Pelodiscus sinensis: one gene and its partners. The protein of the gene in region 1 purifies or fractionates together with the protein of each later gene. This does not show direct contact. Links are inferred from orthologs where the notes say so. Each region holds a gene or a part of one and is shown in the gene's direction. Other genes may lie near its edges. The genes, in order: GRB2, PTPRE and SYK.

Region 1 (4,295 bases):
GAATTATGCCCTTGAATGTAATCCCATATATCGTCTCACTTAAAAAATAGAAGGAAATAAAAAACATTTAGGCTATATAATTTTTTCAATTCTAAAGTTTCTCCCTAGCTTCCCTCCTGAGAGTGTGTCCTTCCCTCTCCCACTTATCTGAGCAGCGACAGTTCTGTTCTTATTAAGATGCTTGAAGGATGAAAAGGTGTGTGCGCATGCATACACTGTCTTGGGGGTGGAAGGTGGGACTTGATATCACAAGTGGGTAAGATCATGAAGGCACGGTTTCCTCCCCCATGGTATACCTCAAGCTAAGTGAGTTGACAGTGTTTCGAACACTCTTGCAAAAAAAAATAAAAAATTCTGGGATGTATTAGCAGTAGTGTTGTAAAGAAGACACAAGAAGTAATGTTTCCACTCTATGCTACACTGATTAGGCCTCAACTGGAGCATTGTGTCCAGTTCTGGGCGCCACCTTTCAGGAAAGATGTGGACAACTTGGAGAAAGTCCAAAGAAGAGCAACAGAAAGTCTAGGAAGCATGAGCTATGAGGAAGACTGGGATTTGTTTAGTCTAGAGAAGAGGGGCCATGATAGTAGTTTTCAAGTACATAAAAGGGTGTTACAAGGAGGAGGGAGAAAAATCCTGCTCCTTAGCCCACGAGGATAGGCCCAGAAACAATGGGAGGTTTAGTCCGACACTAGGGAAAACTTCCTGTCGGGGTGGTTAAGCGCTGGGATAAATTGCCTAGGGAGGCTGTGGAGCTATTTCAGAGCAGGTTAGACCCACCCCTGTCAGGGATAGTCTAGATGGGGCTTGGTCCTGCCCTGAGTTCATGGGGGGGCTAGGAGTGTGGGTGCTTTCTGTGTGTCCCCACAGCGCGAATATGGAGTCCCCAAGGGGAGAGCGCGCTGCGGCCTAGTGCAATGAGGCCGGGGGCCGAGAAAGCACGCGCAGGAGCACCCAGCTCTTTGGATGGGGTGCGCCTGCGCGTTGCCCTGTGCGCTGCAGTCCTAGCTGCTATTGGCCGCTTTCCATGTCACTCCTCTCTGGCTGCTTCCGGGCGGAGCCCCGGCTTGAGGAGGAAGCGGCGGAAAGCGGAAGCGGCGGCCGGTTCTGGCTCGGGAGGAGGGAGAGGAGCAGGGCGCGGCCCCTGCCATCCGTCCGTGCCACACTTCCCCTGATGGTCGGTCTCTTCCTCCACCTCCCCTAGGGCCGCCCGTGAGTGGGGTAGACGGAGCCGGAGGGAGAGCTCCCTTCCCAGCCACCCCCCGCGCCGCTGTTCGCGGAGCAGCCCCAGCATGGAAGCCATCGCCAAGTACGATTTCAAAGCCACCGCGGACGACGAGCTGAGCTTCAAACGGGGGGATATCCTCAAGGTAAGAGCCGCGGAGGCTTAGCGAGCCCTCTTCTCCCGAGTCACTCGGGCCCCACCATCTCTGGAAATACCCCCCACCCACCCACACACTATCCCATTTCCTCCCCCGTGTCTCCTCCACAGCCCTTCTGACCCCTTGGGCTGCTCTTCGACAGCATCTTCCAGCCCGCTTGTTTTTAATGGCAGAGAGCTAGAGCATAGACCAGTAGCTGAGAAGTACTATTAACTGGATTATTTTTTTTCTAGAGATGCACCCTTTGATAGTAATCCACAACTTAGTGTTTCATCCCTTTGCCCCCTGCCAGAAAGATTTGCATGGAAGAAAAATTGGGTCATCTTTTTGCCATCACGCTGCTAAATATTGATACTGATTTTCTTCTTCTTCTTCTGTGGTGTTAGTTTTCAGCGGTAAATCTGTAACACTGAGTATTTAATGGAATTGTAAAGGTGTGAGTGGATGCCTGGGATAGATTAGATGGGTTTTGTGTGTAAGTTTCTCAATTTATTGAAGAGTAGGAGTCCAGCATAAATTTATATTTGCTTTTTAAAAAAATATATATGCCTAAAACTGAAGAAGAATCTAGAAAGAACAAATGAAGAATGTATGCAACAAAAACAGAAAATGGGGATTTGGTAACGGATTATAGTGCGTGTTTTGTATAAAGATTCTAAACTATGCTGCTTTCAGAATAACTAAAGTCTAGTTTGTATTCATATAAGGTTTTTTTTTTAATTCTATGGTTAATATCACCATGTTTGTTATGGATAAAACAAGATGGATACTTTTTCTTCTAAGCAATTGAGCCATTAGCGGTTTAGCTTTAAAAAGTTGAAATCCATATCTTTATTCTCCAAAATAACCTGGACATAGATGGCTGAGGATTAAAAACCATGTTCTTTAAAAACCCAATCCCACAAAGATTTTAAGCACATAAATAACTTTGTGAATGTGAATATTCTTCACTGGGACTATTAACCTGCAAACAATTACAAACCTTTAATTTTTTTCGGAGTTGGGGCTAAGAAATAGTAGCCTGTTCAAGGAGTGATGAAAAGGCCCCTTTAAAGGCAAACTTAAATTCCATTTGTGCAAAAGAATCACATTAACTACTTCATTGATGCAAGAAATATATGGATTCTGTTGCAAACTTCCTATTTTTGCCATAAATTATGAGTTTTCTGCTTATCTGAGGAAGTGGGATTTGCCCACGAAAGCTGCTTATACATATACATAAAATAAATTTGTTGTTAGTGTCTAAAGTGCTATAGGACTACTCCATGATTTTTCACTGGCTGAAATTTAGTATACAGTGTCATAGAAAACCAGTTCCTTAAACATTTTAGTTGGGATGATAACCAATTCAATTTAAAAAAATTTAAAAAGTCCTGCAGCACCTTAGAGACTAACAAAATATGTAGATGGTCATATGAGCATTCTTGAGCACAACCAGTGCGAGCTGGAACTGAGCTGGGCTGCCTTGCCTGCCTGGCTCCTAATACATTTTAAATGCAGAGCTGCAGCAGGGGTAGGTCCCAGACCTGCTATAAGCCAGGACTGAGCTGGGCTGCTGGCCAGCCTGCTAGAAAATTTACTGGCAGCAGGGGAGAGGGAATGCGTGTAGTCTATATCATTAACCTATTAGCTTTTGCTTATCAGTTAGTCGACTACACTATTACATCCCTAATATATAAGGATTTCTTTTGTCTAAACTAGGAAAATGAGGACCTGTATTGCAGTTTATTCAGACACTCTTACTAGATCATGATTGTGTTTGTGAGATTGTGGCAGAAATCTGAGCTTTATGTGTGGCATGCTTCATGAAAATTAACTTGTGAAACTGTATAACTCAAAGATCCTTTAAACAAAATACCTTTTGTAACATCAATTTTAATGTTACAATCTGCTGGATGTGTATATCCTATTTTGGTGCATGTATCATTCTTGTGTGTGAAGTTATGAAGTATGAGTCTGTTTATAGTTTTAATTGTGTTAATGAGAGCCCTTACTAGTGCCCTGGAAGCCTAATGGCTTGGTGATAAATTTGTAAATAGTCTTGCTTATCCTGTAAGTCCAAGTCATGGTTCATCCTAGGAAGACAGGTGACTATACCACCTGGTACTGAAATCCATTTTGAACCTGGTATTTTCCCATGGAATCAGGGATGTAAAACATAGACTTTACCTCAGGGCTGGGAATACTAAGCAACGGGAAGCAATCCCCCTTGTCTTCAGCTGGCTTTGGAGACTGCCTGGCACACCCTAAGAGGAAAAAAGAACTTTAAAGAAGTCTGGAGACCAAAATCAGAGTAAAAGATCATCTGTGTTTTGAAGCTGATGCCTGAAATAAGAACAGTTGTTTAGAGTAAGAATTTGCATATGACCAGTTTCTTAGTGAATTAGAGCTAGTTATCCCTTTTCTATTCATGTTTATTTAATAACTTACTTTGATCTTACTTTTTGGCCAAACTGGACAGCCTCTATGGCAGGGCTGAGCAAAATATGGCCCAGGGGCTGGATCTGGCCCGCACACCCACCTGGCCAGGACTCTGTCCCAGGCAGCTGTGTGGTTTAAAGCTCAGCCTGTGCATCTCTCTGCTCTGCAGGAAGGGAGAAGATTCATGCAATCTCCTTGCCCCTAGCTGAATCCTCACCTCTGAGAGGCTAGAAACAACTGGCCAATAGGAACAAATAGCCAATAAGATCTGAGAAATTGGCTTGGAGGATGGGAGTAGTGCAAATCTCCCCTCTCTCTCTTCCCCCCACCCCAAGCTGAGAGCCACCTGGGATTTATAGCTTGCAGTTGTAAGTGATTTCAGGCTGCAGCAGACAGGGAGCCCAGCCTTCCTTGGGGGTGCTGCAGGGCTGCTGACTTTAGTAAGTGCCTCCCAGCCAGAGCCTGCCTCTGGCACCCCTGCCCCTCCTGCAC
Region 2 (4,295 bases), on another chromosome or scaffold:
ATTAGCTCTATCCAGAGAACTAAATTTCTTTCACAGTCCTGTAGCTGAGAGCTAAGATTTCTTTCATTGGTAGGATGTCAAACTAAAATCTATGAATGTTACTATACTTTCGGAGTTAATTTAGTAATCATCTCTAGGTTTTCAGATTGCTAACTCTAGATTTCTTTTTCTTTTTTTCCTCTTCATTCTCCCTCCACGGTATATAAGCTCTTTGGCACTTCTACTGCAAGGGTTCAAAAGTCTATTTACAGGCTTCCATCATATTCTCTATATCACTGATTCCTAATCTTATTGGACAACTGTGGCAGTTCAGCAGATAAAAATATTGGCTATACCGGATAGTAGCTTACTGTCTTTCATCACTTTTTTATAGCCAGCACTCTGTTTTCCTTGTAGCCATTTCTGTAAATCATGATGATATCAGTGTCCGGCCATTCAGGGCTGCCTCATACCTATTTTGCCCCATATCAACTATGCATCTGAAGCAATGGTTTTTAACCTATTTATTTCTGTAGGCTATAGCATGCTCCCCCTCCAAAAAAACCCCATCCCTCCACAAAGCAGGGCACCAGGGGCAGGAACCTTGGACTGCACCTCATGGGGCAAGTGGCAGTTGCGTAGAAGCCCTGACTCCAGATCCTTGTGTTGTGTGGGGCCAGCTGGCTAGCTGCCCTAGACCCTGGAGCCCCTCTGTATGGTAGCCTGGGACCCTGGAGGCCAGCCAGGTGGTAGCCCTAGACCTTGGTCCCTGGAGGGCCAGTGTACAGCCCAATTCTGACTCTGCCACATAAGGACAGGCAATACGAACCATGTCATGCAGGGCAGCCGGACCAATGGGATCTAGAACTCTGCCATGCAGCATGGTGGTCTTTAACACACAGCTGGGCTGCAGCTGGGTGCTAATTTGGGCTGTGTCTTGAGAACTGCAGAGCTGGAGTAGGGAGGTGTTCTGACGCATGGTTATCCCTAAGAACCCAAACTCAAAGCCATAAAAAATAAACCTGCCAGATAAATGTGTCCTTTCCCCTTCAACTGAAGAGCTCTCCCTCCCTACCTCTTGTCACTGTGACATAAAAACCTGCCCATATTTCAAGGCTTGGTTTACAGATGGCACAATGGCAAGGGCTGTCACCTGTTCAGGATTGCTTTTTTTTGAGATAGTTGTCTCCGGAAATGCACAAAGAGGTTCCTGCACACTGCCAGGTATCTACTTTTATGGGCCACCAATCATCCTGAGTATCTGGTTCTTTTTATTATTAATTAATTAAGTATTATTATTATTTTAACTCAGAAGTGGCAACCCTATTGCAAGTGAATGTAGGATCAGGCCTAAACCTGCCTGGCTGGTTAATGCAGACAGCTCTAAGGCTAGGTCTGCACAGCAAATCGAGGTGGCTTAGGAGACAACTAGAACAATTTTTTTTAGAAAACCTGAATCTAACTGCCTACTGGTGTAGACATTTAGATTGTGGTGTATGAACTGCAGTTATTGCAGTCAACACTCTGCCCTCACGTGGGGGAGGCCAGCTTTAAAATCCGACCCTCCTTTTCCCTCATTCCGACTATACAATCACCTCGTCCCGCTCACATGCCAGCTCTTGGGTTACCCCCCGGCGCTGTCCTCCCTCCAGTCTCTGCCCCATTTGCCAGGCCACCCTGCTGCTCCCTCCCGCTTCCCGCAGGTGCTGGCCCCCGCACAGCCTCTCCCGGATTGCCCAGCTGACTGGCGGTGCCCCGGGCTGCGATCCCTCGGCTGAGCAGCAGGCGGCTCCCGGCTGACGCCGCTTCGGAGCGCGCGGCAGCAGAGGCGGCGACGGCGATTTGCTGTTCCGGCAGGCAGGGTGAATGCCAGGGCGTCCCCCGCCTGCTGCACCGGGGCGGCCGGGCGCCCGCTGCCTTTGCCGGGCGAGTGCTCCTGAGGTAAGCGGCGCTGGGAGCCAGGCAGCGGGGCCGGGCGAGGCGCCCCTGTCCAGCCGGGCATGGGCTGCTGCGACCCCCCCAGCAGCGCCAGCCCCGGTGCATTCTCCAGCTGGAGCCACATGCCCGGGCCAGGGCAGCGCAGGCCACGGGCGGGGAGGGAGCCGCTGTGCGCAGACAGGCGGTCTCTGCGCCGTGGGAGGGGCTGGGCTGCTCTACCTGCCGGCTTGCTCTCTGCAGCTGCCCCGGGGCGGGGCATGGCGCGTCCCCGGGCCAAGCGTGCCGCGGAGGAGCCAGTGCGGTCAGCAGCGCCGCGAGGCTGGGACAGGTGAGACAGGCAGGGAGCGGCAGCGAGACACACCTGGCTGCAGGCTGGAGGAACTCGGCAGCCAACTTGAGTGGGGTGGCAGGCGCGAGGGGGCGGCCGGGTTATCGCTGCTGGCCTGCTTCAGCCTTCGGCAGGCTCTGCTGAAATCCCCCTGCTCACCTCTCCTCAGCCCGCGCTTGCTGGGGTTGTTTCCCTTAGGAATCGGTATTACTGCTCCGCTGCAGTTCCGAGGCCAGAGCGGGAATGGGGCCCTAACACCCCTTGGGAATAAATGTCCTTTTCTTTCAGACATTTCTGCTCCAGCCAAGGGGGTTTAAACACCCTCCCCTCCTCAGGGTGAAATCCTGGCTCCGCTGACATCCACGGAGAAACTCTCCTGGACCTCAGTGAAGCCAGGGTCTCACCCTCCGTTTTAGAGGTAAAATATTGAGTATTTGACTTCACACTTACAGCGGTGCAATGCTTTAAAAAGCACTTTGCACCCACCAACTTGGAGGCCTGGATGTGATGGGTAGGGAAGGCAGCTTTGTGGTGCAGTATCTGTTTTTGAAGCAGTCTTGCTTTTGTGAAGATATGTGTAGTATGGGGGTTAATACAAGGTTTAGCATAAATTAGGTGCCACTTAAAAAAAATCCATCTTTTATTCCCTTCTCCATTCAGTACAGGTACTTTGATAAGCACTTACCAAACACACTGTCAGTTTTAACTGAATGAGATTAACTTTATTCTTCCTGTTTAAAATGAAAACTAGATGCATAGGAGTGATGGCTGAAGAGATCATTCTCTGTAAGATGCTGTCTGATCTTTTGTCTCTGTGCTGGTGATAGTGTTAGTGTGTGTATTGTTGAAAGCGGTAATGAAGTAAATACCACTGAAGTACTGACAGTTGAAAATCAAGAGCTTCCTGAACTTCCACCGTGCCTCCCAGGGCTGACTTTAGGGAAAATGGCACCCGTGTATTTTGGCACCCCGAGGCTGTGTAAGGGGAGGGCAGCAGAACAGCAGTCCTGATGCTCATCTCACAACACAGCCCAGTTTAGAAAAGTGACTGGAATAGTTGGTGTTACTCTTCACTCCTTCGCCTCCCTTCCTCCACACGGGGGGGAGAACAGAAGGATCATTCTTAGCCCTTGCCTCTTCCATTGCTCTGCTGGGATGAAGCAAGGAGAAATCTCCCTTCTCCATGTATCACCTCTACAAGTTGCAGTGATCCTCTGTCAGCTGGCAGCGTGCACACAGTGCCCCGACCACAGACTGCAGTTGCACAGATGGGTGGCCCACCCCAAGGCTGGCCTTGATGCCTCTCCCTCAAGGGAAAAAAAAATGAATCAACAATCTTTGCAGCATGTCCGTCCTGAAGATGAACAATCACAGGACCAATGGGGCAGCAAATTCCACAATCTGTCTATGATGTAGTCTAATGCAACTGATACTGTGGTATCTAGAGTCATTACTGGGAATGCTCCTACTAGGAGGTGGTATTAGCCCAGTAAAAGCCTTAGGAATATTTGCGCCTTTCCCCCCCGCTCTTCACACAACACATAGTAAAAAGCACCCTCTTGAGCTGCTCCAGGATCCTAAGCAATTGCTTATACTACTTTGTCTGCTTATATCAAATATTAGTTCTTCTCCAGATATACAATTCTGGGAACTGAAACAAAATACAGGACTATGTAGCACTTTAAAGACTAACAAGATGGTTTATTAGATTATGAGCTTTTGTGGGTCAGACCCACTTCCTCAGATCAAATAGTGGAAGAAAATAGTCACAACCATATATACCAAAGGATACAATTAAAAAAATGAACACATATGAAAAGGACAAATCAAATTTCAGAACAGAAGGGGGATGCGGGGGGGAGGGAAGGTCACAATTCTGGGAACTGCTAGCCGAGTTCCTAAGGTACACAGGGAGCAAACAACATAGTATTTTTCATTCAAGGATCTCAGAACATCTAATAAACATTCAGTGATTAAGCCTCCCAATGCTCCTGTTAAATAGGTTTAGGTAACCCATCACTTTCATTGTATATTTTTCAGTAGTGACAGG
Region 3 (4,295 bases), on another chromosome or scaffold:
TTATTAGGGGTTTTGAGTTGCTTTCATATGAGGAGAGATTAAAAAGAAAGGGACCTTTCAGCTTAGAAAAGAGGAGACTAAGGATGTATCTACATTGCTGGCCTTAACTTGAAATAAGCTATGCAAATTGTGCTACTGTGGCGGCGCGTTGGGGTTTTCCCGTCTCCTGCACCCCCGTAATGGCACAGACAGACTCCACCAGCCCGTAGAATAGAGGGAATTTATTGCTTCTCCAGGATACAGCACAGATGTAATATGGTTACAGGGCAGGTCTAGGATGCCTCAGCCCCTCTTGAGATGGGGGAGCCTAGGCCCCTAAATCCCAGCCAGTTGCCTAGGCTGCTTTCTCCATGAAACCAGCCAGAAACCTAACTAACTCACTTTCAACCCTGCCCACAGCCAGGGCTCCACTCCCCTTCTTCCCATTGTTCCGCTCCCTGGGAGATAACTGGTCAGATGGGTTCGAAGCCCCCTTTCATAATGACTCATTCCCTGCCCTGCTGGGCCGTGCTGCAGCCAGCAGCCAGTGGAGGTCACTCACAACCCACTGCCCAGCATAACAACCAGCAAGGTACCCCTCACTACGTCACAGCTACATCAATTGTGTATCTTATTTCGAAATAGGGAGGAACTGCACAGAACTTTTTTTCAAAATAGAGCACTCTTTCTCTGACTTCCCTTATTCCTCATACAAAGAGGGTTACAGGAGTCAGAGTAAGAAGTCCTCCACCTTGACAGTATTTTGACACTTTCAAAATAACTTCTTGCTGTGTATATGCGGACTAAGTTATTTCGGAATAATGCTAGTTATCTTGAAATAGCGTTGCAGTGTAGATGTACCCTGAGAGGAGATATGATAGAGGTCTATAAAATCATGACTGGTGTTGAGAAAGTAAATAAAAGTTATTTACTTGTTCCCATAATACAAGAACTAGGGATCAAGTGAAATTAATAGGTAGCAGGTTTACAAGAAACAAAAGGAAGTATTTCTTTATAGAGCACAGTTCTGTGGAACTCCTTGCCAGAGGATGTTGGGAAGACTAGGACTTTAACAGGGTTCACAAAAGCATGGAAGATAGGTCCATCAATGGCTATTAGCCAGGATGGTTAGGAATAGTGTCAGAAACTTTTTTCTGACAGGCCTCTGTCAGAAACTGAGAATGGGCATCAGGAGTTCGATCACATGGTAATTACCTGTTCCATTCATTCCCCATGGGGCACCTGCCATTGGCTACTGTTGAAAAACAGGATACTGGGCTAGATGGACCTTTGGTTTGACTCAGTATGGCTGTTCTTATGTTAGTAGTCTTCAAACATATTAAGGGCTGTTATGGAAAGGCTGGTTAACAACTATTCTCCATGTCCACTGAAGGTAAGATGAGGCAATGAGCTGGATGTGCAGAATGAGAGAGTAAGGTTGGCTATTAGGAAACACTTTCTAAATATAGGGCTAGATACCCACATCCCTAGTGTAACCATACACTAGAACAGGTTCTCTAAGGAGGAGGTGGAATCCCTCTGGGAAGTTTTAAAGAACAGGTTAGAGGAAGAGGATGTGTCAGGGAGAGGCTAGGTTTACTTGGCCCTGCCTCAGCCAAGGTAGCTGGACTTGTTAACCTCTCCAAGTCTCTTCCAGCCCAATAGATTGTTTTCAATTCTAGGAAACCCAGTGGAGGTTGCCTGTAAGGCTTTGGAGCGGACAGGCAAGCGGAAAGGGTCGCTCTAATGCAGCCAGCTTAGGGGCAAGGCGAGGCGCGGAGGCGAGCCAGGGAGGTGTGGAAGTGCAGGGAGTGTTTAGGAGGGCCGGGTTAGAAGCGGCAGCCAGGAAAGGCAGAAGAGGAGCTGGGCAGAGCCGAGCTGGCGCATCCTGGCGCGGGAAGCCCGAGGCCGCTCCGCCCGTGTCCCAGCTGTTAGGCAAATAACGCGGGCCGGGGAGCAGCTGCCCGATGAGGAAGTGTGTGAGCTGAGCCAGGCTGGGAGGAAGTAGCCGGGGCGGCCGCCGCAGAAAATGAGGAAGCGAGGCTGTCACTCCCTCTGAACGCGAGGCTGGGAGGCAGCGCCCCGGAGCGTCTCCTGCCCAGAGCCGCGACCCCCGCGGTAAATCCGCAGCGGCGGCTGCCTCCGCCCTACCCCCTCCCTTTGCGCTGCTCCGGGGCTGGGGGCGTCCCCCGGGGAACCCTCTCTGCAGAGGCGAGGACCCCCGGGTGGCTCAGCCGGGAAGGCTTCCCGCGGCGGCTCCCCGTCCGCCTCGCCTAGGTAAGCGCCGCTGCCTGCTCGGGCAGGTGAGGGAGCCGCGGGCGGGATGCGCGCTCCGGAGTCCTGCGGGCACCGCGGGGTGTGGGTGTAAGGCGGGGGGAGCTTCGCGTCTAGACTGGGCTGCGCGCGTGGGTAACACACCAGGGCAACCCTCCTGCGGGCACGCGGGGGATGCGCCGCCCCCAGCACGGACCCCTCTGCTTGCCCCCGCGGCGCGGCGCGGGGAGGGTGTTTCGCGCCCTGCCAGGCACGCTGGGTTGCATCCAGTAACAGAACACTTAATTGAGCGGCCCCACATTGCAAAATTCACACACAGGCTCACCAAGTTCGGAGGGGTTCGAATCTGCAGCTTCTCTTTGGGCCCACCTGTAAGATCACATTTAAATTGCTTTCCTGGGTAAAGTTTCCTCAATTAGGTTTCTTTGTTTCATCCCAAGCTTACTTTTCATGTATAAATTGAAGAACAAACAAACAATGTATCATTTACCTAAATAATAAGAGGTAAAACACTGACCATGCCATGGCAAATTCATGTGAATCAGCTACTGATGCTTTTAAAAATATTGAATACATTTGTAAGGAAAAAAATTAGCCCCGAAAAGCAACAGAAGAAAGCAATTCCACAAAGCAACTTAATATGTAAACAAATAAAATATATCAGTTTGTGAAGGCAAACACAAAACTCTTAAGTTATAATTGTCTTTCAAGTCAGCATGAACCAGTAAATGAGCATATCTGGATGCATGACTATGAAACTGGTTTGTTCTGTAAACAAAACAATGTTGTTCATAATTTTCATGAGATGTTATTACCGGGACACTAGGTACAGTATTTTCGTTCAGAGTTCTGAAGCCTGACAATTTTTATCAAATGTCTTTTTTTTTTCTAATAAAAAAGCTGTCACCACTATTTATTTCAATTTTACAATAGTGAAACTCCATTGACTTCAACAGAGTGAATGATATAAAAAATGAGAGTATAGCAAGTGATGTCTCAGGCCAATTTTGGGGCAAAGCCAGCATTCCTTTCTCGGGCACAAATACCTTTGATTTCAGTGGTGTTGGATCAAGCCCAGAATCAAATTTCTTAATTTGGCTTAATTTACAAGGTAGTTTTGGAAAGCATTTCCCTATTATGATTAATTTCCATAGTTCAACAAACCATTTACATTCTCATAATTTTGGTTGGTATCTGTTATTTTGGGCCTTCCCCTGCAAGCCCCCTCCCCGCGTACAAAATATTTGCTTTTTCTGTACCTTTGGAATCAAATGTTCAGTCTGATTCAAATGCATTGTCCTGGCACAGACCTGATAAGAATGTCAGGGCCATAAACAGTTAGCCTGAGAGCATTTGGAGTGGGTACTTTTACAGGAACTATGACGCTTTCCTTTCTCAGCCATTTGTTAAGCTTAAGACGGATAAAAGCAGAAATAAGGAAGCTTGAGACGGGAGTGTGTTTTTATTTTGTGACTTTCTGGGGGAAGGGAGAAAGGTTAAGAGAAGGGTTTCATAGATAAAACAACTCAAAATAAATATTTGAAACCATTTTAGGAAGATCAGAATGAGTAGTTTAATGACTAATATTTATTCTGATTTTCATATTTAGTTGGAGGAATAATTAAAATCCACAGTTGTATTTTATAAAGCTTTCAGGTTTTGTTTCTATTAAATAATAATAAAACACTGTAAAATCAAAGATATAAATTTTAGTCAGCTACATTTCTACTTCCAAGTAAGCATGATTGTATTGATGTCAATGAGAGCAGAATTTGACCTATAGAGTGGGGGGGGGGGGAGGGAGTTATTTTGGAAACAGTTAATGGATGTCTTTTTTAAAGTAGTAGGAGCCAAAAATAATATGTTAATACAATTATATGAATGTTGTTTTCAATGTTTTTAACTTTAATGACTACACAATAATGGCATTAATTAATTTGATTCCTTTCTTTTGCACTTCCTATTTAAGTGCCTGCTATTGCTTCCACTAATCATGTCAATGGTAAAACTACTGTTGAAGTTAGAGGATGCAAGTTTTAATT

Evidence for each region.
Region 2: the proteins of GRB2 (region 1) and PTPRE purify together in Homo sapiens (affinity purification with mass spectrometry; 5 studies listed by BioGRID and IntAct, with this or other methods). This does not show direct contact. The link is inferred for Pelodiscus sinensis from reciprocal best matches to the Homo sapiens genes GRB2 and PTPRE.
Region 3: the proteins of GRB2 (region 1) and SYK purify together in Homo sapiens (affinity purification with western blotting; 3 studies listed by BioGRID, with this or other methods). This does not show direct contact. The link is inferred for Pelodiscus sinensis from reciprocal best matches to the Homo sapiens genes GRB2 and SYK.

Annotation. Positions count from the first base shown.
Region 1 is NC_134730.1:12,217,399-12,221,693, forward strand, and holds the start of GRB2 (growth factor receptor-bound protein 2), read left to right. Parts: upstream 1-1,057; 5' UTR 1,058-1,292; coding exon 1,293-1,370; intron 1,371-4,295. UniProt on the Homo sapiens protein: Non-enzymatic adapter protein that plays a pivotal role in precisely regulated signaling cascades from cell surface receptors to cellular responses, including signaling transduction and gene expression.
Region 2 is NC_134718.1:51,491,322-51,495,616, reverse strand, and holds the start of PTPRE (receptor-type tyrosine-protein phosphatase epsilon), read left to right. Parts: upstream 1-1,781; 5' UTR 1,782-1,845; coding exon 1,846-1,920; intron 1,921-2,131; exon of another isoform or gene 2,132-2,245; intron 2,246-4,295. UniProt on the Homo sapiens protein: Isoform 1 plays a critical role in signaling transduction pathways and phosphoprotein network topology in red blood cells. May play a role in osteoclast formation and function.
Region 3 is NC_134716.1:48,172,700-48,176,994, forward strand, and holds the start of SYK (tyrosine-protein kinase SYK), read left to right. Parts: upstream 1-1,833; 5' UTR 1,834-2,256; intron 2,257-4,295. UniProt on the Homo sapiens protein: Non-receptor tyrosine kinase which mediates signal transduction downstream of a variety of transmembrane receptors including classical immunoreceptors like the B-cell receptor (BCR).